7 separate regions of the Mus musculus genome follow, and all the other regions are reported to be linked to region 5. The links are microRNA targets in miRTarBase. Many come from high-throughput screens and were not tested one by one. Region 5 holds a microRNA gene; each other region holds the end of a gene's coding sequence.

Region 1 (4,067 bases), not on the chromosome of region 5:
TTAAATGTTCTGTAAAAACTAGTGCCTGGAGCTGATCCTATTTGATACATAGGATTCAAAGAAGATACAAATGCTAACATTGCTCAGATGGTCACCCTCCATCCCCACCCCCCTGTGTGAAGCTTTAGAGGACAATGACATTTTAAGTAAGGTAAAGTTGCCATAGGGAAAATGCCCAGGGTTAGCATGACTGGCATTCCTCATGGCACTGAGTAGATGGACATCAGGTGACATTTCTGTGGATTAGAGACCTGAGCCAAAGAAATTCCTACTGTGGGCTTGGATGTCACTGCTCTGTTTACTCTGCACAGGCTGACAGTAGCCCAGGAGGTCAAGGACCTCTGGAGCATTCTCTCCTTGGTGGTATTGATGAAGTAAGTGTTTATACATGCCAGGGGTACACAGGAGAGTTTCTCTCCCCTCCTTGACTGTAGCACTGTCTTGACCATAATCTTCATTCTTGTCTCTTCTCAGAAATACCTCAGGGAGTTTTTCAGTGTGATGCTCCAGTCCGAGACATCTCCCCTTCACATCAACAAAGTGGGACTGACCCTGTCCAAGCACACCATTTGTGAATTCTCACCATTCTTCAAGAAAGGAGTTTTTGACTACAGCAGCCATGGGACAGGGTAGAGCTGTGGCGACCAAGGAACCACCAACACAGTGCCTTCTCATCAAATAGACTCTGATGCAGAGTGGACTCCTGCACCAGGATTCCAGCTTGCCTCCTCCAGTTGTGGCAACATGCAGCAGCCAGCCCAGACCACCTCTCACACCATATCTAGTGCCTGAGTTTGGGAGTGGGTGCTTGCCTGCCAAGGGCAACTCTGATTGACAGTTGTTACTGTACCTCTGCACTTGAACGTGGCCTTTCCCATAGTACAGCAAGTCAATCCCCTGTGGCAGGATGGATGTGTGGCTTGCTTATCTAGGGACTCCTAGAGCCAAGCCAACTTGGGACTTCCCATTGTGGGTGGCTTACCAGACCACCCTTAAGTGACTTTCATCTGGTTTCCTTTTTCACCAAAATATGCTTTTTTTTTTATACTTCTTCCATGTGGCTGGCTAGGTTTCAAAGATGTTTTAAGTTATGTCATATTGTTTTGTTCATTTGGATTTGGATTTAATAATATCTAAATACTGACGTTTACATAGAATGTCCTGTTCAGTAAAAAGGATCTGTAGGCCAATCATGAGAAGAGTCTTCCATGCCTGACAAATTGGATGTAGGCAACATTGCAGAAACTTGCAGAAATCCCTACAAATAAGACATTGTTTAACCTTCACTATTTGAGGGCATTTTCCCAAACCTCAAAGGCTGTTGTTCATTTTTTAGCTTTTTCTGCATAAAACAAGTGCAAAGCTGGATGCAATCTTTTAAATATCCTTTGTCCATGTTTTAGTACAGAACCTTCAAGATCATTAACTAAAAAGAGAGAGAGAATTTTCAGTAGTTTATTAATAATCCCTCAATTACTCAGGACATAATGTAGCATTTCACATCGTGTACAGTGAAACTGCTTCCTTTATCAAAAGAAAATTGTGAGTAGGAAAAATCTGTGGTATATATTGAAATGTACATAATTCAACATATAGATTTATATGTATACACTCCTGTACAATAGTATATCAGGCTATATGATCATTCACACCAAATTTATTAAAGGTGTTTGCTTTTTCAACTGTTAAATTGAGCTGCTATCAATATTAAATGAAGTCATGTGCTATACCCTGTAGTTCAGTTTAAGTTTGTAATATGATCATTTCTACTGGTCTGTTTAACAATTGACCTGATATGCTTAGAAAGAGGCATATTGTACAATTTAGCATTTATGTTGCAGAAAATGCAGTTATGATTGAAGTCACAAATGAATGGATAACAAAACATGCTTGCATTCAGTCTTCTAGAACATGCCCGCACAGCAGATCTCTCCAAGCTCACAAGAATGTTGGAAGATGCAGCTAGCCCTATAAGGAGGAGACTAATATTCAATTAATTAAATATCATAGCTTAGCATGAAAAAATAAAACGGACTCTTTATTTAATTGCCTCAGAAGTGTATGCTTCTCTCTCCAGTCTCGATTATAGGCCTAGGTTTCATAGCAATTGCTATCAAGAATTTAAAACTAAAGATTAAAGGATAAAAACTGGGAGATGATAAATTAACCATGGGTCATTTATTTAAAAGAAGTTCAAGTGCTGAAAACTATCCCTCATTGGCTTGAGTAAATTTTTTTTTTCAACTGACCAGATAATTAATATGTCTCTCACCCTCTGGGGCCTATATTGAAAGGTGGGCTCTTGGTGAGCATTTTGTTAAAATTATACGTGTGCTATTTGGCAAGAGTAAAGAGTGTATTTGTGATGATCAGTCACAAGGAGATCTTCCTTGTATCAAATGCATGGTAGTGCTCAGAGCCCTAGTATTGACTAGCTCTGGCTAAAGCCAGCAAAGGCCTGGACCAGTCACTCCATCCACCCAGACCTTGGCCCCATCTGAAAACAAAGCTATTCTCTGAGATGATTCTAGCTCCCGCTTGGACCTCTGGTTACAGCAGGGGGTTAATTATTCCGGTTGGTCCAGCTGAAGACCTCCATGTACAGGAATCATGGAGTTCCTCTTGAGCTAACAATAGGAGAGATGATAGGTCTGAGCTGACAAAACGGAAGCCTGGGCAGCTTGAACTAATTTAAAGAAGTAAAAGAAATTTAATTAACAAGTATGTATGCATCATTGTGCTTTCAAGCATCCTGGATACCAAGTGGCCACTGTCACAATTCAGACTGACAAGTCATCCTCTTACACTTTGTTGTTACTTGGACAAATCTGGGGGACTTCTGTTTTAAAGTAGGTGGCATGCCTTCCTAGACATTGTTTACAAAATAAATACTCCTCTGTCTTGTTTAAAAATCACAGTACAGTTACCTTCCATTGGGCTCCCACACAGACCTTGCCCTCTCATTATGAAGTTCAGATTCAACCCTGACGTTGAATAGGAACAGAACAGTAGTCATGTCAACTCCTAGTGACTGCAGCCTACAAGAGTCTCTCATCATGATATAGAAATGCTTAAACAGGATTCCTGGATCTCAGATCATTTTAGATCTAAATTTTTGTGTAGAAATTTAACATTTTTATGTTAAAAAAAAAAAAAGTAGCTCAGCCTGGCCTCTGATCAGCTACACAGGCTCTATCAGGATCTGGGCAGAGATCGTGGATATAGCACATGGATGAACCCAGTGGATGTCCAGTACTCCAAGGAGCTGCCTTAGAGCCGCAGCTCCCAACCTCAGATCAGGGCATGGTAGTCGGATGGATGTCATTGTGAGTTCTGCATTGTATGAACATAGTATACCAGTAACAAGACATATTTATGTCCTTCTATAATGTCAGAATTTATTGAGTAGCAGTAACTTCACAAGGCTAATAGACTCTCTCTCTCTCTCTCTCTCTCTCTCTCTCTCTCTCTCTCTTTATTTTGGTTTTTTCAAGACAGTGTTTCTCTGTATAGCCCTGACTGTCCTGGAACTCACTCTGTAGACCAGGCTGGCTTCGAACTCAGAAATCCACCTGCCTCTGCCTCCCAAGTGCTGGGATTAAAGGCGTGCGCCACCACTGCCCAGGGCTAATAGTTTCAAAGACAGCAATTTGTCATATAGTCCTGCCCTACTGTGGTTGCTTGGCTGAGGCAAATACAGGTTCTTTTGTTTTTATCTTAATTGCTACTGTTAATTCATAAGCTCACAGTAAGTATATCTAGATGTCCTTATGCATATATATGGCTTACATAGTGAATTCAGGTTAAAGAAGCTGGAGCAGAGTTCAAGAGGCTTCAGAAGTAGGCGGGGTCTGTATGGATACAGAACCAGATCAGTATCCTGAGCAGCTGCTGCTGGAGTTAGAGTTTGGGTTCAAAGCCGCAGGTTTCAGCTTTAAGATTGAAGGGCAGACTAGGTCTGCAGCTAGCAGTGGGTCAGAAGCAGGTCTAGGTAGAAGGACAGACGGATGGGGCAGGCTGTCAAGTGGGCCACATCAACAATAGGAAACAAAGCCAAGCTGAAGGTC
Region 2 (4,057 bases), not on the chromosome of region 5:
TAAGTTCAAAGACTTAATCTTACACAGTAGATCAGGTGCTTCGGGGCATGTTTATTAACCCTGACCTTGGAAGGAAGCTAAAGCCAGAGGTTTGAGAAATGTGAGATCAGCCTGGGCTACAAATTAAGACTGCTTCAAAAAAAGGAAAGTTGAAACTGACTTCCTGAGTGCAGGCAAAGTTACCAAAGAATTGGAACTAATGTTTGTTCGTCCATTTGCTAGGTTGGATATCGACAGCCCCTAGTTGCCGTACAGGTCAAATTTGACTCTGGTCTTAACAAGAAAGAAGTAACAGTTGAGTGCCATATTGCTGGAACCAGGAACCTAAAAAACAAGAATGAGCGTGACAAGTTCTTGGGACGTGTTTCGTTCAAAGTCACAGCACGAGCCTAGGAATAGGATGTCTCCACAGAATTCATGTTGTGTTGTCGCCATTTTGTATCAGCTGGACCTGCCATTCTAGGATTATGAGGCCACCTTGGAGGAGGAAGTGGTGTGGTACACACTTGGGTGACATCATAACATGCTTCCAGATCATAGTGTTCAGTGTCCTCTGAAGTAACTGCCTGCTGCCTCTGCTGCCCTTGAACCCATGTACGGTCGCCAGACAGGGACCAGTGAGCTCCCGACCCCAAACATGCAGAGTGGGGGCCCTGTCTTCTTTGTGTGTAATTGCCAAACGTCTAAAGCTTCATGTGCTGGGCTGTGTACATATTTTATGGATTTAACACTGGTAACTGCATATTTTGATGCCAACAAAGTTTTAGGGATACAATGGTACCTTGCCAACATCGAGTGACTTTAGCTGGAAGAAATGTCTGAGAAGCTCTGTATGTGAGGAGGGAAAAGGAAAATAAAGTGGATCTGAAAGTAGACTCTGCTTCTGCGCATGTGTGAGTGGTGCCTGTCCGTATGCTCCAGACTGTTTCTTACAAGGTGAACTAGACCATATCTGATTTTGCTGAGAGGACAAACTTTCTGTTGTAGTACATATTTAAAAATACTATTGGGCTGACTTTGAGTGTTGGAATCAAGTCTTCCACATTCGGGTATCTTAGACACAGGGATGAAACAGCATTTAAATTAGGTGAATGTGCACCGATTTTTGTTGTTGTTGTTGTTTTGTTTTTTGAATGAATGAAATTCCCAAGATATAAATTGTATAGTTTTTCAAACTGTCTTGTTAAGTGCTTTTATTTAGTAGACTGTGGACCCTAATAAAAACAAATTGTGAAATACAAAAACTTCAAACTGATTTAAAACTTGGAACACATGATGGAGTCTTCTTTCACATCCTGACTGGAGCCCTGGACTGTCCTTGTCGTCTCGGGTGGATTCTTGCTGGAACTGTAGTAACTGGAGCCCTTTCTGTTCTGAGGAGAGGGCCTCCATTTGACCCATGGGTTTCATTCACACGTATGTATGTATGTATGTATGTATGTATGTATGTATGTATGTATGTATGTTTGAATGAAAGCTTTTTGTTTGTTGGTTTGGTTTGGTTTGGTTTGGTTGGTTAGCATGCATGTATGTGAGCTGCCTGAGCTCCCGGTGAGTGTGGAGGCCAGAGAAGTGTTGAATCCCCCTGTGACTCAGGGCAGTTGTGAGCGGTCATGTAAGTACTTGCTCTTAAGCCTACATCCTTGGATGGAGAGCTCAACCACTGAGCTGTCTCCAGCTTCTCATTTATGGTTTTATCTCTCATTTATTATCTTTTTTTTTTATGTTTACTTATGTATATGAGTACACTGTAGCTGTCTTCAGACACACCAGAAGAGGGCATCAGATCTCATTACAGATGGTTGTGAACCACCATGTGGTTGCTGGGATTTGAACTCAGAACCTCTGGAAGAGCAGACAGTGCTCTTAACCACTGAGCCATCTCTCCAGCCCCCTCATTCCCCCCCCCCCCCCCCCCCCCCGAGACAGGGTTTCTCTTCTCTGTGTAGCCCTCACTGTCCTGGAACTTACTTTGTAGACCAGGCTGGCCTTGAACTCAGAAATCCGCCTTCCTCTGCCTCCCAAGTGCTGGGATTAAAGGCGTGCGCCACCACCGCCCGGCTATCCTCATTTTTCTAAGAGCTGTTTTTTATCATGGATGGTGCAGAGCCACATTCTGAGGCTTTCAGTGGTCTGCAAGCCAGACCTGGTGGGGCAAGAACCCAACTGTCTCAGGTTGGCTATGTGGGAAAGCTGAGGGAATTAGGTGGCCTTGCCAGCCAGGTGGCACCGCTGTACTTTGGAGGTGGACATTCTCCACTTTGTCATCAACAAAACTCCGTGATGCCTGAAAATTTAAAGGTGACCTTTCCTGGACTTGGACTTTTCCTTTGTGCTTTTTCTGTCTCTTGATTTTGCTGGGTGGTTTCACATGGCCTTGGATTAAGTCACTGTTCTGTTGCTGGGAAGAGACACCATGGTCAAGGCAGCTGTTACAAGAGAAAACATTCATTTGGGAGCTTGCTTATAGTTACAGAGGTGCTCTGGTGGAAAGCAGCGGGCAGGCACTGAAGCAGTGACGTCACACCCTGATCTGCGGGCAGAAGGAAACATGGAGTGGCATGGCCTTTGAAACCTCCAAGTCCACCCTCAGTGACAATTTCTTCTAAGAAGGCCACACCTGATCCTCTCAGTGCCACTCCCTGGCGACTAAGCATTTATATATATGAGCCTCTGGGGCCATTACTCAAGCCACCACAGCCATCCTGCCTCGGCTTCCCAGTTCATATTGAGAAAGTAAAGTAAGGATGGATAATTTGTAGCCTGGCACACGTACCAGACATCACCCTGAGCAACAGTTCTGTGAGACCAGGCTGTCCTGGTCTGCGGAGTAGGAACGGCAGGCCTGCAACCGAGCGGTGCCGACAGTAGGGCAGATCCTGAGTCGGCAGGTTTGGCTCAGGCACCATTTCATTAAATAGTTGTGAACTTAACTAAAGCCTAAGGCCTGGGGATGTTAGGTCAGGGCTTGCCGAGTATGTATGAGGCACGGGATTTGACCCCAGATACATGGGGCTGCAGTCTCGGAGCTAGTGAGTGAGTGCAGGAGCTGGAGAGACAGGCAGCAGAGAGCAGCGGGGACCTCCCAGAACCACCCACAAAGTGGTTCACAACTCCACTGCCAGAGGGCATCCTTCTATCCTCTTCTGGTCTCCTCAGACGCCATGCACATACGTGACAAAACGTCTAAAGTTAAAAAGTTTAAAGCAGAGTAGATCTGTAACCGAGAGCAAAGCTGTCATCTCGAGGTGGATTTTGAAGACTTGGGGCATAGATCCTAAGTCTTAACTGGTTTTCTTTCTGGTTCAGTTTTTGGACTTGGTCCAGTCCTGCCATGTGACTTCAGCTGACCTCAAGTCTTCAGGTTGTTTTGTTTTTTTGTTTTTTCATCTGCTGAACTTAGGAGTGCCTGCTTAACTTGAAGCATACTGAGTGAAAGGACACAGCCTATTCGAGTTCATTAACCCAAAGGGAACAAGAGAGGGCCTAGGAGTTAGCTCGGTTACACAGATGGCAGCGCTGGGTATGGGCAGAGGTGGTGCTCAGGAACAGGTCATTCCAAATGTCCCTCTGGATCTATTGTGGAAATGTTTTGGGAGGCAGAATGAGCTGGGTCTATGTCCTGTGGGTAATGAGGTGGATTTAGGAGTGTAGGGTAGTTGAGTCTGTGTTCTGTGGATAATAAGGTGGACCGGGAATGGGAGCCATAGGCCAATTGGCATCTGCTCCAGGCTTTCCTCAGAATGTAGGATATACACAATGTTGTCTGTGCATTTCGCTCTCTGGCGTGGTATGATTGATCCAGCAGCCTCCTCTGCAGGCTGTTCCCTCAGACCACAGAAAAGGATGACCCAGTCAGCTTGCACTTCAGTCACTGAGCCCAGCACTTAGCCCAACTGGACAGGAGATGGAGAAGGTTTGGTGTCCGTTAGTTGATTGAATCGTGGTATTTTGAAACAGTGTAATATTCCTAATGAAAGGAAAAATTGGGGGTACTTTTAAAAAGAGTTCCAAGCTGTTTTCTATGTGGGTCTAGGAGCTGGAAAGTTTTATATTG
Region 3 (4,067 bases), not on the chromosome of region 5:
AGTCAAATGTATTATACTGCTCCAGTATTTCACCAAAACCTTTAAATATTGGGGGAGGAAAAGGGTTGTTTTAGTTGACTTAGAAAATTTAAAATTATATGAGGCTGCAAACTACCTACGGGAACAACCTAGGACTTAGCTTGGATGTGGAAAACTCTTTTCAGTTTCTGTTTGTGCTCTTAGGTCTTTGCCTTGGTTTGCAGGGAGTCCTGTGTGACAGGGAGCCCTCCAGTGGAGCTAGGCTTCTAGTAGCAAGCCTGCTATAGAGTCAATGTTGGCTGTACCCGTGCAGCCTGCCTGGTGCCTCTGCCATGTTGGCCTGCATGGATTCTGTGCCCCAGGCATGCCCTGAGAAGATCAGAACCTAAGTGAACCTGTGCCCTTTCTCTCAACAGGGTGGCATGAAATGGAGCCAGAGAACCCCTTATTTCAGCCCAGTCCTTCCATGAATAATCTGGTGGCCCAGAAGAAGCTGGGCAAGAAGACCGGAGAAGGATTTTACAAATACAAGTGACACTTCCCCCAGCAACACCTCCAGCCAGCCATGGGACAAGGATGAGCAAGCCCTGGGCAGGTGGTACCGAGGCTTGCCAGGGGCGGCTCAGTGGGCCCTCCCTTGCAGTCTCTCTGAAGTAATCTTTTGACTAGTTGCAGTCATGGGGTTCTTCCACTGAAATGGAATTCTCTAGTTTAGTCTGTTCTCTGACTTTTTCTGAAAAAAAATTACACCCTTGGTGCCTTGGAGCAACATCTTTTTTTTTTTTTTTCCTGAACCTTGCCACTTTTTGTAAAAAGCGTTGCTTAGACTCATTCCCTCAGGTCTTCTGAAAATGAGTATTCTATGTTTATCGGTGTTGAACCCCAGGGGCAGGAGCCACGGGGCCTACAGATGCACCCAAGGGCAGCAGCCAGTAGGACGTGAGGTCTTGCCTGCCTGGGAACATTTGCAGCCTGCAGCCTCGAGCCTTAGCCTACATTCTGGGCCTGACAGGAAATGTTCTGTCTTTCTTTACCCCACACCAGGACTCCTGGAGTGGTGGGCAAATACCTGTGAGCTTGTTTTTTGGGGGAAAGGCCTATCTTTGAGGCCATTCAGATCTTAACCATCACTGTCCGTCCTTCTTGTTTCTTCCGGTGAAATCTGTGCTACCAAGTGCCTATGAATTGACTCTACTAAAATGAAATCTTTTAATTTGTAAACATTGGAATCGGAATAAATAAACTTATATAACTTAAAAGCATAAAATCCTTAAGTAATTATAAACATGGGCCTGTCTTCTCTGAACTCTGGCTGGTACTGAAGTGACAGCACGGGAGGGAGAGAAAGGTGGGGGGCGTGTGTGTGTGTGTGTGTGTGTGTGTGTGTGTGTGTGTGTGTGTGTGTGTGTGAGAGAGAGACAGATCTGTGTTTGGCCCTTCCACGTTCCTTACCAGTAAAATAGTCATAAGGGCACAAAGAGCGGTTTTTAAGAACATCTGTTTCTTCTTTGCCAACAAAGTCAAACAACGTAACATAAGATTCTTTTAATCATTGGGTTGACAGAGTGTCTTCCATGATAGAATGTGGAATTGGAAAGACATCTGAAGCCCTGATGTCCAGTGGCTTCATTAGCAGAGAGCTTAAGGGATGAGTCCAAGGTCATCAGATATTCAGTACCAGGTTCCGGATTAGATCTAGATTTTTGATGGTATAGACAAAAGAATGAGTCTGAACATGCAGATCTCAGCTCTCAGATAGCTCTTCCCCAGAACAGGTAGGTAATTGTAGGTCATAGTTTCATCCTGACGTTCTTGTTTTTCTCTTTCCTCTTTTGTGTGTGCTAAGAGAGAACCTACACATTTTCAATGCTCTGAGTGGATGACAGAGTGAGAGAGTGCACGCTGAGATGCATTTCTGCCTAGCAGCACACGAGAACCTGGCTGGCCTTGCACAGTGCCTGGTCCCGGGAGGGAAGCGGCTCAGGGAGTCTGCCTCGCCGTTTCTAGGTCACCTGTGGCCTCACAGCTCTGCTTGTTCTCAGGCTAGCTCGTAACCGTTGCTGTGACCTCTGGCCCACAGGCTTCAGTTTGTCACCCTCTAACCAGAGTCTACAGAGGATGTGGGCACTCATCCTGAAAATGGCCCAACTCTTTCTTAGCCAGTAAGTTTCAGGAAAGAGCGAATGCTCAATAGTGCAACTGTTGGCTTCCAGGGTGGGCAGGAGCAGAGCGCTGTTTCTGGAGGGTGCTTTTAAATGCACTTGGATCCTTCAACTCCTTTGCCATTGTATAATATCTTTCCCATGCATTCTGTCCTGGGGGACTGACCAGGAGGGACCTGGAGTCTTCTCTTCTCCAATTAGCACTTGGGGAGTGGTCTCCTGTGCCCTTCCATGGCTCTGCCTGAAAATCAACCTTAGTAGGACTCCCATCCCTGAGCTGTCTTATCTTGCTTTTGGTCACCCTTGTTGGGGGTGAGCCTTGGTTCTCAGCTTCTAAAGTTGCCTCCTAATGGTAGTATGTGGATCTTTCATAGCATTTGATAATCAATACAGTGTTTTAGGTTTTTAAAAAAATTTCCTTCCACAACCCCTCCATGACATTAATTCCGCCAACAGAAGTGAAAATTTCAAAGGAAATTCTTTGATTATTTTGCAAACATGTTACAGAACCAAACCTACCGTCTTTTAATGTCCATGAGATTTATTGTTATTGTTAATAACAGCAACTGAGGGGGGGCATTGTTTAATTTACTGACACGTGGTCTGAGGTCTGTTTCTAGGGAACTGTTGATTGATGTAGCGGGGGGTCACGGGGAAGCAGGTGTTGACCCCGAGAAATGCTGGTGTCAGCCAAGTGTGCGGTAGTCCACGCCTGTAATCCCTGAACTTGGGAGGTGGAGACAGGATGATTGTGAATTCAAGACTGATGTGGGCCATCCTACAAAGCCACTCAAAACCTTTTATAAAGGGATTCGTCACTGGGTTCGGCCAGGTGGTTAAGCCTGGCTAAGGTCAGCTTCCAGGAACTCGTTTGAGATCGGGCTGCCTGCAACTGAAGAAAGTAAAATCAGCACGTGAGGGATGGCTGACACACCAGTGCACGCTGGTGGTGCTCGCTCATGGTGAGTTAAGCTGTTCATACACGTGACATGGGCCTTTGTTTGAACCACCTTAATTTTAATCCCCTTAACATTTCAACCTAAGTAACTTAAGTCTATTAAAAATACAAGGTGTGGCTGTAATTCCACGGGGAAATTTTTCTTGCTAACAAGCATTGGGGCAACATAAATAGTAATCTAAAAACACTTGCGTGATGGCATCATTGTTATGGTCCCTCTTATTCCCCACCTGGGGACAGAGACTCGCGTGTCCTGAGCTGATTTCAGATTCCAGATGGAGCCCAGGATAACCTTGAACCTTGATCTTACTGCCTCCCTAGCCCTTTGGGTGCTGGGAACCGAACCCAGGACATACTGTGTGCCTCACAAGCACTCTGCCAGCTGAGCTATAACACCATACTTTGAAAAAACCCACTTGGTGGTGTCCTTTTTTTTTTTTTTTTTTTTGGCTTTTTTGAGACAGGGTTTCTCTGTATAGCCCTGGCTGTCCTGGAACTCACTGTGTAGACCAGGCTGGCCTCGAACTCAGAGATCCGCCTGCCTCTGCCTTCCAAGTGCTGTTTGGGATTAAAGGTGTGCGCCACCACTGCCCAGCTCTATTTTTTTTAATGATGTGGTTGTCATGATCACAGGGTTTCCCCACCTGTCTTGTCACCTTTTCTTAGTTACCCTGTTGAGATGACAAAGCACGGTTTCACCATGGATGATAGAGTGCTGTCGGGGGCACCGATGGTGGGTTTTATTTGCACCCACCAGTTGGAGCTGTTGGAGGATTGTCAGTTCTCTTCATGCCATGGGCTTTGAAAGGACCCCAATGGCTTGTGGTCTTCAGCCTCACTTTGCCTGAGTAACCCGGAGGTGTTCTTATCTCCATGTTCTGGGTAAGGCGGACATGGAGTCGGAACCTCTCCGTGGGGATGCTGATGGTCAGATCTCAAAGGATGATGCTTGTCTTATGGAGTGCAAA
Region 4 (4,067 bases), not on the chromosome of region 5:
CATTAAAGAACAGACCTGGATGTAAGATGTAATAAATGAGCTTTCCAGACTCCATTTCTTATCATTGTATTTATTTAAAAATTATTTTTAACTTGCATTCCTCTAAGCAGAGTACCATGTCAACATTCCATATCAACTTTCACTTTCATGTGTATTTCTTTTATTGTTTCTCAAAACTAGATAATTTTGTCTTTTACATTTCATTCTCTGTTTTTATTTTCAGAAGTTATTGTTCCAACTCCTGAAGGTTCTACCATTTTGGTTTCCAATGCCTCTTTGACCACATCAGTGCCCACCCCTGTTATAAATAGTACTTTTGCCCCCACAACCCTGCAGACTATCTTTGCAGTAAGCTCTTCTGAAAACAGCACCTCAGCTCTTGCTGATGTATCATGGACCCAGTTTAACATCATCATTTTGACAGTCATCATCATTGTGGTAGTGCTGCTAATGGGATTTGTAGGAGCTGTGTACATGTACCGAGAGTACCAAAATCGGAAACTCAATGCTCCCTTTTGGACCATCGAGCTGAAAGAAGACAATATCAGTTTCAGCAGCTACCATGACAGCATCCCCAATGCAGATGTGTCGGGATTGTTAGAGGACGATGCCAATGAAGTGGCTCCCAATGGGCAGCTGACCCTGACAACACCTATTCATAACTACAAAGCCTGAGAAGCTGAGTTGTCCTCCTGGATTGTCAGAAAACAGTGCTCACTTAAACAGCACCTGACCTCTGGCTGCACAGAGCCTAGGTAGAGTTTGTTGAGAAAGGTATTGTGCAAATGTTCAGGTACAAACTGTAGTGCGCTTAGCCTGTCTGTTGCTCTTAATTCCCCCATGAAGATCTGAAGCACTCATCATCGAGGACTTGAAGTAAAGTATATTTTTGTAGCAAACCACATGTATATATGGAAAGGCTGAATCCCACAGAGCAGCCTAAGTCTACCTGGCCTCTCAAAGGACTGCTCGGAAAGTGTTCACCTCACCAGATGTGATAGAATGTTGATGTGGAGGGGAAAGACTGATGGAAGAATTCATCTCCACTTTGGAAACATATTTTATAAAAGAGAGGCAGGGATTGTGTTCATTTTACTGTACTAAGAGATGTAACTTAGGAAGAGATGATATCTAGGCTAATAAAAAAAATCTTGGTTGTGTGTAGACTAAGAAAGGTGCCAAGAAGTTCTGTAGAAGGGCTTGGCTTTCCTTCTAAGAGTCTCCTTCAAAAATGGAGTTAAAGCACAGGATAAGCTTCCATGGTGAGGGTAGGCACAGCAGGCAGAGAGCAGAAAGCTGATGGTCTCCTCAAAGAGGTTCCTGCCTCTAAAGAAACAAGGTGTACATAATTAATGTAGCATTATCTGGTCAACATTGTACTTGTATCTATTTGTAAAAAATCATGTCCTATTTTATCATCTAGACTTTATCTGTATAGCAGTTAATGGTGTTGTAAAAAGAAGATATGGGAACTTGGTTAAAATACTGTAAAATAGGTGACAATATTGCTAGAGCTGGGACTCTGGTGAGCATCAGTCATTTTAGTCCCTATTTGGACACTGTTGAAATTGATAAGAGGTCAAATGTTTCTAATCTTTCCTCTCTCAACCTAGAGTCATATGCTCTTTGACTTACCATAGATTCAAGCAATAGATTTTGAAGTCTGCAATTGCGAAACTGGAACACAGGCTGCATTCTCCAGACACACCTAATTAGCCACTCTGTTTTACACTGCTCAGTGTAAACTCCTCAGGAAAAGACTTCTTTCCTGAATGTAAAAGACAGTCTTCCAAAGGACAGAAAATTTAAATTAAAAAGAAAAGCCATCACATCACTTCGGGGTTCTTGTTTTTATGCCCATAAAATATTTATGTGCCTCCCATATCTGCCAAAATAAAGGCCTCTGACATTTGAGCATAACCTGTCACCCATGCACCATGAGGACTGTTTGGCTTCTTCAGTGCTGGAGTTCATCCATCTTCATATCTGGGCAGAGGGTCACTATGGGTGTGTATTTAGTCCTTGCTTTTTGATGCCATTTTCCCTGAGGCCAAGTACTGCTGCTTTCATTTGTTATGCATCCATAGGTTGTAGATTGAGAGCCAAGAAAAGTGACTCAGACTATGAAGTAGGGGAAAACAAAACAGAGTAGACCTAGGAAGCTCAGACTCCTTTTCTTACTTCCTCAGAAAAATAAAGACGTTGGTCATCCTTTGTAGGAGACCTCACCTTTTTCTCAGGGTTTAGAAATGACTGTATACTAGAGGATCCATAGGTAACCTGGGTGTGCTCTGCATTTTTGGCTGTCTTTATAAAGGTAGACATTACATCTCATTGTACTAAAACAATTTACAAGTGACTGATTGCCTAGCATATGAGTCTATGAGTTTAATCCTTAGAATTACAAAATATATTAATAATATTTTGCCCTTTGTCATTTAAAAAACACCTTTCCATGTGTTCTTTGATCCTCACCCTAGCCTCCTTAGGAAGTAGTCTTGTGCTCATTTCATAGATGAAGTAACTGAGGCACAGAGAGTCTAAGTTGTTCAGCGCTATACCATGCACATCATCATTATTATTCCTGGAATCAGTTCTCACCTCTACTTCATTGTCATTTTGCTATGTGATACATATAAATCTACTAGCCATGGGCCCTAGAAGACTGGAATGGAAATTCCCATTTGTGGATGCTTCTAATAGAGCCCTTGTATGCTCTCTAGAATACTACCCCCCCCCCCACCCCGCCATACCATGTGTATATATTGGGGTAGGGGAAGTATGTAACTCACAGGCACAATTCAGGGCCACATAGATACTAAGGACTTTGTTGAAAGAACACACATGGATTTCTACCTAAAGACAAGATTAATGACGAGAAGGTAAAGCTGCCAGTTCATTAAAATGAATGAATTCCTGAATTGGGGAGGGGAGCAGAGAGACTTTTCCTAGCAGTTGCAGCACAGGTGTGTATTGACTATACATCACAGAGTTCCAAAGTGCTGAGCACAATGGCTGCCTCCCAGATACCCCATCTCCTGCCAAAATAAGTGGAAAGGAGATAAAAGCCAAACGTTTGTTAAACAGTTCACACAATAAATAAATGTTTATATGAGTTTAAGAGCCAAAGTAAACAGTCGAGATTCCAGCTAAATAGAGATTCCATGATACAGATCTTAAGAGATAACACAGAAACTAAACCACAAATTTATCAAGTACCTGTTAATTGCTCCTAAATCATGTTTTTCACAATGAAAAAAGCTATAGCCTTAAAATGTGTTGTAAATAACATCATTTAGTGACCCCGTTGCTCTGCTTATACAAATTATTTTGTTGTAAAGATCAACCATGAGGTGATCTCTCCTTGAAAGTAGAGTAGGAAACCAGAATAAAACATGCTGCTGGGTTTTCATTCCTCTGGAGACATTATCACCCAATGCCACGAGTCCTCTGCAAAGCCCGATGCTGGAACAATTTTTGTCTAAGCATAAAGAAAATGTTGTTTTTAAAATATACTACATACATGACCTTAATGAGAAATGGATGTCAGTGCTAGGAAGGAACTAATGCTTGCGCCTTCAATAGCTCCCCTGATTAAGTCCTGTGCATTTCTGAAGGTGGATGTTGTACTTGTCAACCATGCCTTTGTTCCCTTACCACCACCATCCCCTACATTGCCTCCAAGGACTCTCCTATTTACAGTCTCTCCAGAGAAAGCAAAATGATAATTAAAATCTCTTATTTATATGAACATGGTGTGGACCCAGTACATTATTTTTCCCAGGGATACTTAGATTTTAAGGGAGAGCAACAGGACAGACATGGGCTGGGAGGGTAGGTTTTTATTGTTGTTTTGATTTGGTTTTTAGTTGTTATTGTTTCATTTTTTTCTTTTAACAAGACTATCTAAATCCCAAATTATATTACTTTTCCCTAGTCCCAATATTTCCAGAATCATTAGTCATCAAAGCAATACTCACTGGTCTACCAGTTAATTTGAGTTATCTGATCATCAAGATGTTGTGGTTTAGAATAAGAGTCAGTTAGAGCTTTATTATTCACCATTC
Region 5 (4,067 bases):
AAAAATCGCCAGAGCTCCGCCTCTATCCTACGCTTCTGTGAGTCTCATTCCCGCACACTTCATCTTCCCTGTGTAGAATTGGACTTTATTTTCAAAATCCCTCAATTTCTTCAAACATTTTTTTTCAGCTTCTCTGTCCCAGCAGGCACACGCTTGATGATCGCTAATCCTCTGGCTACTCAGTGATCAGGTTTTAGATGATCCTCTCGTGGAAACTTAACAGGCCACAGGACTACACCCTGACACCTTCTGGAGACCCCTAAAGAAGTTTTTGGACGGATGCCTGACTTTTATTCTGAAGCCGAGGCCTCAACCTATGAGGTAATCCTTGGAGCTTCATTCCAAGACGATTCCTATTGGTTCACTGGCTAAGCCCCACCCAGGGTTTCCAGCGCTCCGCCTTCCCCTTAAGCGCATAAAGGTGAAACGTCGGAAACTGGACAGCCACCGAGACACCTGCAGCTGCTGGTGAGCAGGAGAAGGTAAGGCACGAAGGAAGGAGGAAAAGGTGCGCTGAGGGAGGGAAGCGGGGACTCTGGGTACAATGCAAGTTGGCACATCTTCCAGAAGGCCAACTGGACTGTTTAGGAAGGGCAGAGAACCCAGGGCTGTCTCCCTGAGATGTGGGAGCAGGTGAGAGCCTTGCGCCTTCGTCCCCGCCTAGAACACCCCGGGTCCATGGGAAGAGATTAAAACAGAAGATGGGTCCCTAGGACGAAGAACAGAAACAAGGAGCGGGGCATTTTGGCAGAAGGCAGAAGCTGGGAGAGTGTCCTCGAGCCGCACTGACCACCCCCTCCCCCAATAACTAATTATGTTTCAGCACTGGAGACGCGGACAGCGCCATCCGGCTGAGGGACTCGGAGCAGAGTTCGGCTTCAGCACCAGGATTTCGGACAGCTCCCAGCGGGTCACGAAGAGACTAGGCTTCAGCACCCGGCCCCTGGCAGTGCCAAGCTCTCAACACCCAGCTTCAGGGATCGCCTTGGGGTCTGTTCTGGCGGAGAGTGTACAGGGAAGGAACCTCTTAATGGTTCTTGGCATTTGTCCTTTACGGAGGGATTTTTTTTTTCTTTTTTGAAACAGGGTTTTTTTGTGTGTACCTCTAGCTGTTCTGAAACTCACTATGTAGACTAGGCTGGCTTCAAACTCACAGAGTACAGGCGAAGCATTTGGTCAACGAGATGTTATGAGTGCCTCTGGGTGTACTAATTTCCAAAGTGAAGTGGTGAGGGGAAAGCCAGCCTCAATCCAACTTTAAATCTCAAGTTCTTTTTATTTTTAAAAAGAGTTTTTCTCTCAATTATATATATAATTATTATTATTTTAAAACACTGTAGACCAAGCTTTGAACTCCTTGTGTAGCCAAAGATGATCTTGAAGTTCTCATCCTCCTGCCTCTACTCCCTGCGTGCTGGGGTGACAAGTGTGTGCTCCTCGTGCCTGGAACAATAAATCCCACGTTGGTGATGTGCCAGGGTGTGAGTTGGGGGGCAGGTAGAGAATGAATCTTGCCTGTGTCTCAGGGGATGGAATGGAAAAGGGATGTCTAGGGAGGGTAAGTCAGTGAGTGGGGTTTGTTATGCTCAATCCTCTATGGAGAGAGAGAGAGAAGCACTTGAGGGTGTTGAACCTGGCGGAGGAGGATGAGGACGAGGAGCGGAGTACGTGAGCCAGTGCTATGTGGAAGACTTGTGATTTTGTTGTTCTGATATGATATGACAACAAGTCACAGCCAGCCTCATAGCGTGGACTCCTATCACCTTTCTCCTGAAATACACAAACAGGTAGGGGCAGGAAACTGGGACAGGAGGGGGTTAAGGGAAGTCTAGCACGGACAGGAGAGGGTGTCTAGCAAGGTCTCGGGCCCTGGGAGAGTGCAGGAGTGTTTCCCATGCTATTGGCCTGTCACTCAAACACATCTACATGATAGGATCAGAGACACAACCTCAGGGCCCTGGGTCACAGCACCGTGCTTTCTCTGGAGACTCAAATAGGGAATGGTGAGCCAGTGGAGTAACTCAGAGGGAAAGAGTGCTTTGAAATTAGGGAACCCAAGCTTGAGCCCCAGGATCAACTGGGTAGAAGGATAAAACCAACTCCTGCAAGTTGTCCTCTGACCATACATGTCCTGTGACACACATGCTTCCACACACAAATAAATAAACACACATAAAAATTTTTCTTTTTTTTTTTTTTAAGAGAGGGTTTCTGGGGCTGGTGAGATGGCTCAGTGGGTAAGAGCACCCGACTGCTCTTCCGAAGGTCCAGAGTTCAAATCCCAGCAACCACATGGTGGCTCACAACCATCTGTAATGAGATCTGACTCCCTCTTCTGGTGTCTGAAGACAGCTACAGTGTACTTACATATAATAAATAAATAAATCTTTAAAAAAAAAAAAAAGAATTACATTTAAAAAAAAAAAAAAAAGAGAGGGTTTCTGTATATAAACCTGGCTGTCTTAGAACTTACTCTGTAGACCAGGTTACCCTCAAATTCAGAGATCCACCTGCCTCTGCCTCCTGAGTGTTTGAATTAAAAGCATGTGCATACATAAAACTTTTTTTTTTTTTGGTTTTTTGAGACAGGGTTTCTCTGTATAGACCTGGCTGTTGCTCTGTAGACCAGGCTGGCCTCGAACTCAGAAATCTCCCTGCCTCTGTCTCCCAAGTGCTGGGATTAAAGGCATGCGCCACCACTGCCCGGCCATAAAACTTTTAAAAGAGGGATTGGCATCAAAGGTACTTCTAGAAAACCCTGAAATTCTTTTCTCTTTCTTGTTTTCTTTTCCTCACTCTTTTCACTTTGCCTGCTTTGAGACAGTGTCACCTGTAGTCCAGGCTTTTCTCTAACTCTGAATGTAGCCCAGGATGGCTTTGAACACTGAGTTCTCTTGCCTCCAGTCCCTGAGAACCATGCCTAGCATACACGGTGTTGGATTCAGAATTTCAAATGCTTTGACTGGGTACGGTACCCATGGAGCCCCAGCCCAATTTTCAATAAAACTCTGTGCCCGCCACACAAAGCAACCACTAGTTGCATGACTGATACCAAGAAAATGTGGACTTGTTGTCTGGTGGGTCATGGCATTCTTAACATTCAACACCTATCATCTGTGACATTCTAATGCAGTCACTAACCATCCCCCACTGTGCAATTCTCCCCAGCTGTCCTAGTGTGCATCCTGGTGCTGTGACAGGACCTTGACTCAAGAAAAGGGCAGGAAAGAGTTTATTCAGCTTACAATGATGGCCACACTCCATCACTGAGGGAAGTCAGGGCTGGAACCGGGAGGCAGGAGCTGATGCAGAGGCCATAGAGGGGTGTTGCTTACTGGTTGCTTACTTGCTTCCCCTGGCTTGCTCAGTCTTCTTTCTTATAGAATCTGGGACCACCAGTCCAAGGATGGCACCACCCACAATGGCCTTAAATCATTAATCATGAAAATACCTGATAAAGGCCTTTTCTCAATTGAGGTTCCTGCTTCCCTTAAGCTCCACCCGTGTAAAGCTGACATCAAACTCAGTCACACAGCAGCCCAGGGGCTGCTTTGTCCATGCAGTTTCCTCTCTTGGGTCTGCACAGTCCACTCACATAACCTCCCATAACCAACTCTGCCTTCTCCAGGCTTCAGCTCGGTGGGAGAAACTTCCTGTTACCTCACTGGTCAATTAGGACAAGACTTTGTTAACATTCTCAGCCTCCTGCAACGGCCACACTATTTAGGAAAGGCTGATACTCTCAAACAGAATGTTTACAGATCTCTTCTGGGGGACTCTAAGTGGGGCTCCACCCCTGACCATGCCCTCAACTCCTCACTGGGTGATTCTAGGAGACTCCACCACTGAACCTGGCCCCCATCCTTTACTGGGGTTTCTACGTGTGGGCTCAACCCATGACCCAAACCCAACTACAGGGAAAAAATACCAGGAAGAATTTAAGATGAAAACATGTAGATTCAAGGCAGGGTTTTTATTGATAAGTCATACTTCCAGCTTTTATTTTGTTTTTGTTTTTTTTTTTTTTTTTTGGAAACAGGATAACACTATATAGACTAAGCTTGTCT
Region 6 (4,067 bases), not on the chromosome of region 5:
GAAGGTGGTTATCTTTTTTTTTTTCCATTTTGTTTTCAAGAAATGAGTCTTGAAGGCAGACTCCTAATGGCCTCCTCTCTCCCCTCTCATTCCCTAAATTTGGGTGGTTTAACAGAGTCCCCCTGACCATGTAGCTAGGGACTGAGAGTCACAGGGAAGGGAAAGCTTACACCTGGAATGTGAAGAATCTGATTTACAGCTGATGGCAGGTTGGGTTTCCAGAAGGGCAGACAGCGCAGCCGTGCTATCAAAGGGCCTCTGAAGTCCTACCCTCCACCCGCAGAGCCTCAGAGGACAAAGGACCCCGGAGTCACATTTCCCCCACACTCCAGAAGCATTCAGCCTACAGATTAGTTTTCAAGTGATCAGGAGAACTCAAACATACCCCAACCCTGAGTTGCTCTGCAGCAAGTCTATTTACAGTACTCCCCACCCCTCACCTCCGCCTGGAGGTAAGTCCGGGTTCTAAGATGGGAAGCCACTGCGTGAGGGGATTCCCCCAGGGCAATGGCCAGTGACTAGTTTCTCTGCCTAGGCTAGGAAAGGGGGCAGGGAATGAATTGAATTCCTGGTGAGGACCGCCTCCCGTCCATCAGGCTGGGATGGCCCTAGTGGCTCACACAAGTGGCCAAGGCTGCGAAAAGGGCAGGGCTCTGCAGCTGCAGCAAATCCCAGGAGAGAGGAACCCACACCTGGAATATGAAGTACTTTGGTCCAGGTTTGGTGACTGGAGAAAGGGAAAGAGGAGCATCTAGCTCATTTGAAAATCAGAACCACCGCCTGACAGGGCAGGGCAGTAAGAAACAGCCATCCAGCGTTTCCCACTAGGGAAAAATACCACGAAAGCTGTGACAGAGCTTCTGGCTGCTTAGCTGGGCAATGTCTCTCCCCTTTGGGAGGGGACAAGGGGATTAAAGGGACTAAGTAATAGCCTCAACATGAGACCACCCAATCTTCCACTGAAGAGACGACATTCCCATGAGGACATCAAGGACAGTTTAAAGGGGAACAGTGTCAGGGTTTTCACAGCCCGGCTACCTTAAACCTGCATTACAAGCTGTGTACAATATATAAAACAGACCAACAATTTTGAGGATCACACTCCCATCTTCAATAGCAAATATACATGATAATAAATTTGTTATTAACAGCAGGACCAAATGATGAATAAGGCAAAGACATTTAAGTTAGGGGTTGTGTCATCAACACAATCCGTTAACTGGAGGAGCAAACTCACTCATGTAGATCTAAATTCAAGCCTTTTTTTGGTGGTGGTTCCACCAGGCAAAGACAACGAAAATATATCATCAATACCCACGCGGCACAGTCTGATTCTGGGGATTAGAAAGGGTGGCAGGTCAAGTCGAGGAAGGTACCATCAGCCCAAGCAAAAAGCCCGGGTTTGGCTTTGTGAGTAGATGTATGTGTGTGTATACAAATCTATATGTGTGTGTGTATATACATATATATATATATACACATACATAAATACGCACGCATATATCTGATGGTCTATGCTTCAGTAAGGGAAAATTTTCACACTTTGATAACATTGTACAAAAGGCATCAGCTCCCATTTCAACAACAAATGGGAAGACTTCACAGTTCAACCATTAGAATCTACCCTGGAACTCTCCAAGTGTCAGCTTTTTTTCCCTCTCTTCCCTTTGTTCAAGTTAGGATGCTGGGAGCGTAACTGCTAACAGATTTGAGAAGAAGATAAATAGTGAACAATTAAAAGTCCGGTAAGATCTAACCACTGCCTGTCCCAAAAGTCCAAGTGGTCCAAGAGCTGGCAATGGGCAACACTCAATAAATAAATGAACTAAGTTAGGTCCACTTTCTCCAGTCCTAGAAGATTTGGGTCTGACCTGGCATTACACACAGATCCTTAGCCTATGGTCCACTAGATTAGAAAGGTCCCTATGAGCCAAGCGTGGTGGCGCACACCTTTAGTCCCAGCACCTGGGAGGCAGAGACAGGGGATCTCTGAGTTTGAGGCCAGCCTGGTCTAGAAAATAAGTTCCAGGACAGCCAGGAATGCACAGAGAAACCCTGTCTTAGGGGGTGGGAGTGGAGTGGGGTGGGCGGAGAATAAAAATAAAAATAATAATAATAATAAAAAAAAAAAGGACAGCCCCTACGATAATTTAACCCCATGGTGTATCTGGAAGTTTTTCACTAGCTTCCCCTACCCAACTCAGAGAACAGCCTGGTCTCCCTACCGTGATGTAAGATCTGAGCAGCTTGTGCCCAGGTCAAGGACTGTCAGAAACCAACTTCTCTGGGTGTGGAGTTCAGGCGCCCCACACTGCTAGTGGAGAAGAGACACTTCCTGGCCAACAGAGCGGCCTCCGTTGGAACACCCACTTCCTGTGCTGTTTCCCTACACCTTGGAAGACTGAGAAACGATGTATTGCTGGCCGCCAGGGAAGACCCACCTCCTAGATGGCGGGCGGCATGCCTCCCTATGTCTTTGTGCTTGGCTTACAGGACTCTGTATTCCTCCTGAAGCTCCCTTTTCTACGCTGTGGCCTTAAACCCTGCAGTCTCAGTAAGGTATGGGTGGGTGGCAGAGAAAACAGGAAGAGCCTGCCGTCTGATGGGTGTGAGAGTCTCGCTATGAGCAGGCTGCCAAGACCTTACTGGCCCTGAAGAGCCAGACACTCCCATGAAGCCAGGGCTTCGGTTCCCTTCTTAAGTCTCCCTGGAGCTTTCCCCAAGGGCTGAAGGACTCAGGCTGCTGGCCACTTCAGGGTTAATCAGAAAAAACTGAAGCCATCAGGAGGCTGTGGCTAAGGCCCTATCTTTCCATGTCTTATAGGAAGTCTGTAGGGTTTGTGACTTGAGAATAGACAATGCCCTCAACAAAGTGGCTCTTCTCTTGTGGGATCGGGAAGGGACACAGTTCAGCCTAGCACCCTGGGGAAGGGGCAGGAGGTCCCAGAGCTCGGACAGCCCTGGCCCTTAGCTGCACAAGAGCTGACTGGCTCTGAAATGACCCTCCGTTGCTTCGTGCCCTTTACCGTTTAGTTAGCGGATCAGTACTTAGTGTGTATGCACTGCTCATCTCTTGGGATGGGGGAAGGGGATGAGAACAAAACCAAAACACTTGAAAATGAAGAAGACCCATGTCCTTGTCCTTTCTGTAACCCGACCTTTAAAACAGATCACTTCTCTGCAAACCCCCTCCCTGCATCATGGAACACCTCTCCTCAGAAGTTCTGGCCACACCAACCTCCTAAACTATGGGCTATAATGCACACACCACACTTCGCCCTCGGTGAATGACAGAGACAGGGGTTACACTTTCTGCCCTGCCCAATGTGAGTCCATTCACCACAACAAGGCACCTTTCCCTGGAAGAAAGCAGGAGGCGTGGAAGCTTTCTCCTCCTCTGGCTAGCAGGGCTTGCTGGAAGAAGGTGGAGATGGGAGTAGACCCTACTGCCAATAGAAAGAGTCCAATCACCGAGTCCAGAGAGGAGATGCATAGATGGAGCTGGGCTGGAGGATGCTCAGAGCCTGGGTTGGCTGCACTGGAGAAACACTGCAGGAGCTCTCATGCAGGGATTAGGGTTGGGAGGCCATCTGAGAAGAGGAGGTCCATCCTTTTCCTGAGGAGCAGGACTACGCCAAGCTTCACCTGAGAATGGGTGGGAGAGGTGGGGCTCCACGGGCAGCTGGAGAGAAAACAGAAGATAAATATATTCAGTGCACGCGCCCAAGGATAGAACAGTTCTGAAATGAGACAGCCTCCTTTTTTTAAAATTTTTTAATTTTTTTGAGACAGGGTTTCTCTGTGTAGTCCTGGCTGTCCTGGAACTCACTCTGTAGACCAGGCTGGCCTGGAACTCAGAAATCTGCTTGTCTCTGCCCCCCACCCCCTTCTTTTTTAAAGATCTATGGTTGGTTTTTTTTTTTTTTTTTTTTTTTTTTTTTTTTTGGTTTTTTCGAGACAGGGTTTCTCTATGTAGCCCTGGCTGTCCTGGAACTCACTTTGTAGACCAGGCTGGTCTCAAACTCAGAAATTCGCCTGCCTCTGCCTCCCAAGTGCTGGGATTAAAG
Region 7 (4,067 bases), not on the chromosome of region 5:
CTAAAAGTAAAAAAGAACAAGGGACTATGTCCATGTCACTTTAGTTGTTAAAATTCCATCCCTTGCTCTGGTGAAGGTGAAACAGAAGAGTTACAGTCTTCAACCCCTTAAGCCATCTCCAAAACTCCTCCGTCTTTGTCTCCAGGGCAGGAGGCAACTCCCACTCTGGGGAATATTTTCATGCAAAGGTTCCTGCTCCAGGTAGCAAGGCCAGTCCTGCCCTGCACACTTCATTGGTGTTCCAAGATGAGTACCACAAATGGGAAGCAGGAAAGGATGTAAACTACGCAACTTGACTCTTCCTATACCTGGTATAGAAAGAGGCCCTTGCTTGGCTCAGTAGCTATATTTCATCCATACACATTAGGAAAATGTTAACATAGGAAGGGCAGGATAGGAAAGGCAGGATTCAGGAAACAACAAAAGCATTAGAGAAGGTATCCTTTTTAGGACAAAAGAGCTTTGCTTGTTAGAATAATTCTGCAAACAGGATTTTTAAGAGGAAGAAGTTACCCAGGTCCTTGGAATCTAAATTCTGATGACTACATCTCCATCTCTCCAGGATTTGGCATGTGAAGAAACGTTCTCTCCCAAAGCCTACGGATCAGCTCAGGCAGGTTTCTAACCATCCCATGAGGCGTATCTCAGGGAACTGGAATGTACTAGTACTTGACTTTAACTAGCTGGAAAATGGAATGATGTCAGAAAAGGACTGTGTTAAGTACCAGGGAAATAGGGACCAAGCCATATCGACAGAATCCCAGGTAACAGAGTCTGATCACAGAGTCTAGTGTCCAGATACTGCCCTTCTGCAATGAAGTTAAATTAAGAGGAATGTTTCTTCCTCTCCCTCTATGTGTTTGTGTTTGTGTGTGCATGTTTGTGCACACACATGTGCACATATAAGGGAAAAAGACACTATCGTACACAAGGTTGCTTGGGAAAATGGATTATTCTAATAAAACTTTATTTTTTCAAACACAGCCACAGAGGCAGAACCTCATGTTTTAACACACACAGACTTATGGATTTTTTAATATAAAACAAAGTTTACGAAAAATTTTTTTCCACTTTTTGTTTCTGTAATCCCATTAGCACAGGGACTTTGGCAGCAGGTGGGAATGAAGGGCAGCTAGAGCTGCCACTGGGCAGTCACCGGGCACAGGAGGAGAGCATCAGCCTGGGAGTGGCTTCACTCACGCACGCAGTAAGACTCACCTGCTGGCCAGCCACACGCACCACACACGCAGCACAGATGCAGGCGTCTACACAGCAGCAGCCACAAGCCCCGGAGGTGTGCTCCACTCTGGGTAAGCCCACTGTGTGAGAACCCAAATGATGAAACTGGCTAAAGTAGAGGGAAGTTGCTTGCTTTACAAAAGAAGCAAACATAGGCTGCCTTTACATGGTCAGCAGTCCAAATGCATTAAAAAACAGCGTTTGGTTTACACAGAACCGTTGGAGCAGAGCTACTGTGTAAAACCAACGATTCACGTCTTGAAAAGGCTTGTTCCAGGGCCAGAGGCATTTAAACTGGGAAGCAAGATGATAGTTCTGCCTAGTTTAACATTCCAGACTTAAAGTAATGGAATTAAAATATGACAATTGTAGGCCTCCTTCCCTAAGGGCGGTGACCTAAGGGCTTTGGGAAAGCCAGGTTGGAGGCAGAATCACTGCCTTCACTTAAACTTGGGGCCCGCAGAGACCCCATTGGCACTGCCAGTGACCTACTGGAGGCTGACACTGCCATCTGCAGCAGAGAGCCCAGGGATGAGGTTGCCCCAGGTGGAAAAGAAGCTGGCACCAGGGAAATTATGGACCAAAGAGGGAGAACCAGGGAAAGATGAAACCTACGATAACTCCTGGGCTCAGTTTCCCTGAATTCTCAGGAGAGTCTCTCGTAGGCCCTTAGAGACCGGTAGCCCAGTGGTAAGATGTGGTAACTAGCCAGGAGACAGGGAGGAGCCTTGAGAAGGTAGAACCTCTGAGGGCCACAGGTTTAAGAAGACATGGCCACCTCCCCTGAAGTGGAGGCAAAGAGTCTGACGCCTCTATAGTATTCCTATTAGCATGTGGGAGACATTAAACATCAGGCTCAATTCCACAAGGAAGAAAGTACATGACCTTAGTTGTCTTCTGTAACACTAGGAACTGGGCCTTAAGACACCATGGAAATTGAACAGAAAAGTGCCCTTACTATAACAACTGGGAAGGGCAGGTCCAATTTCGCTATACAGGGTGTTCTAAACAAAGCCTCACAGGATGCATAGTGACAGCTTCTATATGCATGCCCACAGGTGCCAACCCTACCAAGGTAACTGCAATCTTCAAGTCCATCCCTCCAACCACTGGATCTGCTGCACTGGCTGAAGTTGTGGGTGAGAAACAAAAAAAGAAATTCAATCCAACAACAACAAACTCCCAGCTGCTTCTCATAGCCTTTGCTTTACACACCCCAAGTCAATCCCTCGGTGAGCCCCAGCCTCTCTGTGGTCTCTCAGGGCCAATTAGAAGCAAATAAACATTTCCTGGCAAGTGTGGAAGACAAGCAAACTATTAAATGCTGAACACCCTACCTCTTTTTCAAGCAGATCAGAGAGAGACCGGGCCTAGATATTGCAAGAGTAAGTTTCCCTACAGCCAGCTTCCAAAAGGCAGTGCTGAGGGTGGCCTCAAGGACTTCCAGGGAATAATGTCACTGCTCCTGGTCTGCCTCAACACATTCTTGGAGAGCAACCCTGTCTCTGACTTGTAAGATCAGAAAAGGAAAGGTCCCCTTGGGGAAGAGGAGAGCGCCCAAGCTCCTTAGCTCTGCCTCAGTTGTCCATCTGCTTGCAGCTTCTCAGCAAGCGAGAGAAGCGGGCTGCAGACAGCTTAGACAATGAAAACAACAAGTGTGGGGACTGCCTCAAGCCTCAATACTAGATTCATCTAGTGGGAGAGGGCGGGACTTCAGAAAAGCCCATTAGCTGAAATCATAGTACTCAAAAGATTCTGCTAGACCCCAAAACAGAACCATTTACAGAGCAGTGATGCGATGAACTTAAAAGCCTGGCTCCAGAGCTATTAAGACCGAAAAAAAAAACAAAAACAAAAACAAAAACTCTCTCCTCTTGACACCTTGAACAAGCCCAATGTTATATTAAGGAAACAAACAAACAAAAAAACCCACAAGATCCTGGGGGTATCCTGACGCTCTGCTGTTAAAGGAGCAACTGCCTTCCTTCCCTAAGGCTATACAAACGCACGCACCTTTCCTCAAGTACACACCCGTGCACACACGCACACTCACACAAGTACACACCCATGCACACACACACACACACTCACACAAGTACACACCCATGCGCGCACGCACACACACTCACACAAGTACACACCCATGCACGCACACACACTCACACAAGTACACACCCGTGCACGCACGCACACTCACACAATTTCTCCGAGGAGGCTGACTGAACCCCCCCACCCTGGCCAAATTCTAAGACACAAGTGCCCTTTGAAGCAAAGGGGCTAGTGAAATTCCCCGAGCTGGGGTCGCAGACCCCTTCCTTCCCTGCCCATTGCTCTTAGTGGCAGGGATACTCACACTCAGGGCCGCCATGGGGAGGGTCTGCTCTGGGGCTGTCCCTCCCGTCACCAGCTCCATTTATCTTGTCCCCGCCAGTCTCTTGGCATGGTCGAGTTTGCTGGAGCAGGAAGACTTGGGCTGCCCTGAGTAGGAGCCCTCCATTCACCCCCTTTCCCAGGCTGGGCCCTCAGCCTTGGGGCCCTCACACGTGTTAGTAACCATTACACAGTCTGCATGGGCCCAGGAAGCAGCCTCTCACTTTTAGTTTTCTTCAATCAGATTCAGGTCCAGGTCCCCAAAGTCCTGCTGGCACAATGTCCGCTTGCTCAGTGCCTGCCGTTCCCACCGCACAGACCCCTCTTCCTCCTCTTCGCTTTCACTCAGCACCTGGGATGAACCCTCGACGGGACTGCAGGAAGCAGAGAGAGGTGGGGGACTACAGGCCATGAACCATGGTGGAGAGACGTTGCTGCCTTCTTCTCGGGCTGTTTCT

What was found. Region 5 holds the annotated microRNA mmu-miR-7b-5p (UGGAAGACUUGUGAUUUUGUUGUU, at 1,685-1,708, shown strand). A microRNA usually pairs through its seed, bases 2 to 8, with sites in the 3' UTR of a target mRNA and lowers its output. Matches are read on the target gene's strand: a 7mer-m8 pairs with bases 2 to 8, a 7mer-A1 pairs with bases 2 to 7 and ends in A, and an 8mer does both.
Region 1: the mRNA of Kif16b is a reported target of mmu-miR-7b-5p. Seed matches in the 3' UTR shown: 7mer-A1 at 1,050-1,056 and 8mer at 1,202-1,209.
Region 2: miRTarBase lists Atp1b3 as a target of mmu-miR-7b-5p. Seed matches in the 3' UTR shown: 8mer at 1,035-1,042.
Region 3: miRTarBase lists Hadh as a target of mmu-miR-7b-5p. Seed matches in the 3' UTR shown: 7mer-A1 at 664-670.
Region 4: the mRNA of Megf9 is a reported target of mmu-miR-7b-5p. Seed matches in the 3' UTR shown: 8mer at 1,785-1,792.
Region 6: the mRNA of Wipf2 is a reported target of mmu-miR-7b-5p. Seed matches in the 3' UTR shown: 7mer-A1 at 3,416-3,422, 7mer-A1 at 3,361-3,367, 7mer-m8 at 2,431-2,437, 8mer at 2,395-2,402 and 7mer-m8 at 1,592-1,598.
Region 7: the mRNA of Fam53c is a reported target of mmu-miR-7b-5p. Seed matches in the 3' UTR shown: 7mer-m8 at 3,701-3,707 and 8mer at 2,539-2,546.

What each region holds. Positions count from the first base shown.
Region 1 is chr2:142,616,324-142,620,390 of GRCm38, reverse strand. It overlaps Kif16b (kinesin family member 16B), which reads left to right. Exons shown (of 26, transcript NM_001081133.2): 26 at 475-2,046. The coding sequence ends at 633. Among named protein-coding and RNA genes, the nearest start is that of Kif16b, 280 kb to the left of the region's middle.
Region 2 is chr9:96,329,860-96,333,916 of GRCm38, reverse strand. Atp1b3 (ATPase, Na+/K+ transporting, beta 3 polypeptide) reads left to right here. Exons shown (of 7, transcript NM_007502.5): 7 at 223-1,262. The coding sequence ends at 393. Among named protein-coding and RNA genes, the nearest start is that of Atp1b3, 33 kb to the left of the region's middle.
Region 3 is chr3:131,230,616-131,234,682 of GRCm38, reverse strand. Hadh (hydroxyacyl-Coenzyme A dehydrogenase) reads left to right here. Exons shown (of 8, transcript NM_008212.4): 8 at 396-1,264. The coding sequence ends at 514. Among named protein-coding and RNA genes, the nearest start is that of Hadh, 39 kb to the left of the region's middle.
Region 4 is chr4:70,429,688-70,433,754 of GRCm38, reverse strand. It overlaps Megf9 (multiple EGF-like-domains 9), which reads left to right. Exons shown (of 6, transcript NM_172694.2): 6 at 224-1,828. The coding sequence ends at 675. Among named protein-coding and RNA genes, the nearest start is that of Cdk5rap2, 21 kb to the right of the region's middle.
Region 5 is chr17:56,241,333-56,245,399 of GRCm38, forward strand. Mir7b (microRNA 7b) reads left to right here and starts at 1,656; the gene lies at 1,656-1,766. A230051N06Rik (RIKEN cDNA A230051N06 gene) reads left to right here and starts at 384. Exons shown (of 2, transcript NR_155493.1): 1 at 384-482; 2 at 824-1,473.
Region 6 is chr11:98,899,260-98,903,326 of GRCm38, reverse strand. Wipf2 (WAS/WASL interacting protein family, member 2) reads right to left here. Exons shown (of 8, transcript NM_197940.2): 8 at 1-3,682. The coding sequence ends at 3,642. Among named protein-coding and RNA genes, the nearest start is that of Cdc6, 6.5 kb to the left of the region's middle. RefSeq lists an enhancer at 1-1,674.
Region 7 is chr18:34,770,627-34,774,693 of GRCm38, reverse strand. Fam53c (family with sequence similarity 53, member C) reads right to left here. Exons shown (of 5, transcript NM_001357456.1): 5 at 934-4,067. The coding sequence ends at 3,836. Among named protein-coding and RNA genes, the nearest start is that of Kdm3b, 4.3 kb to the left of the region's middle.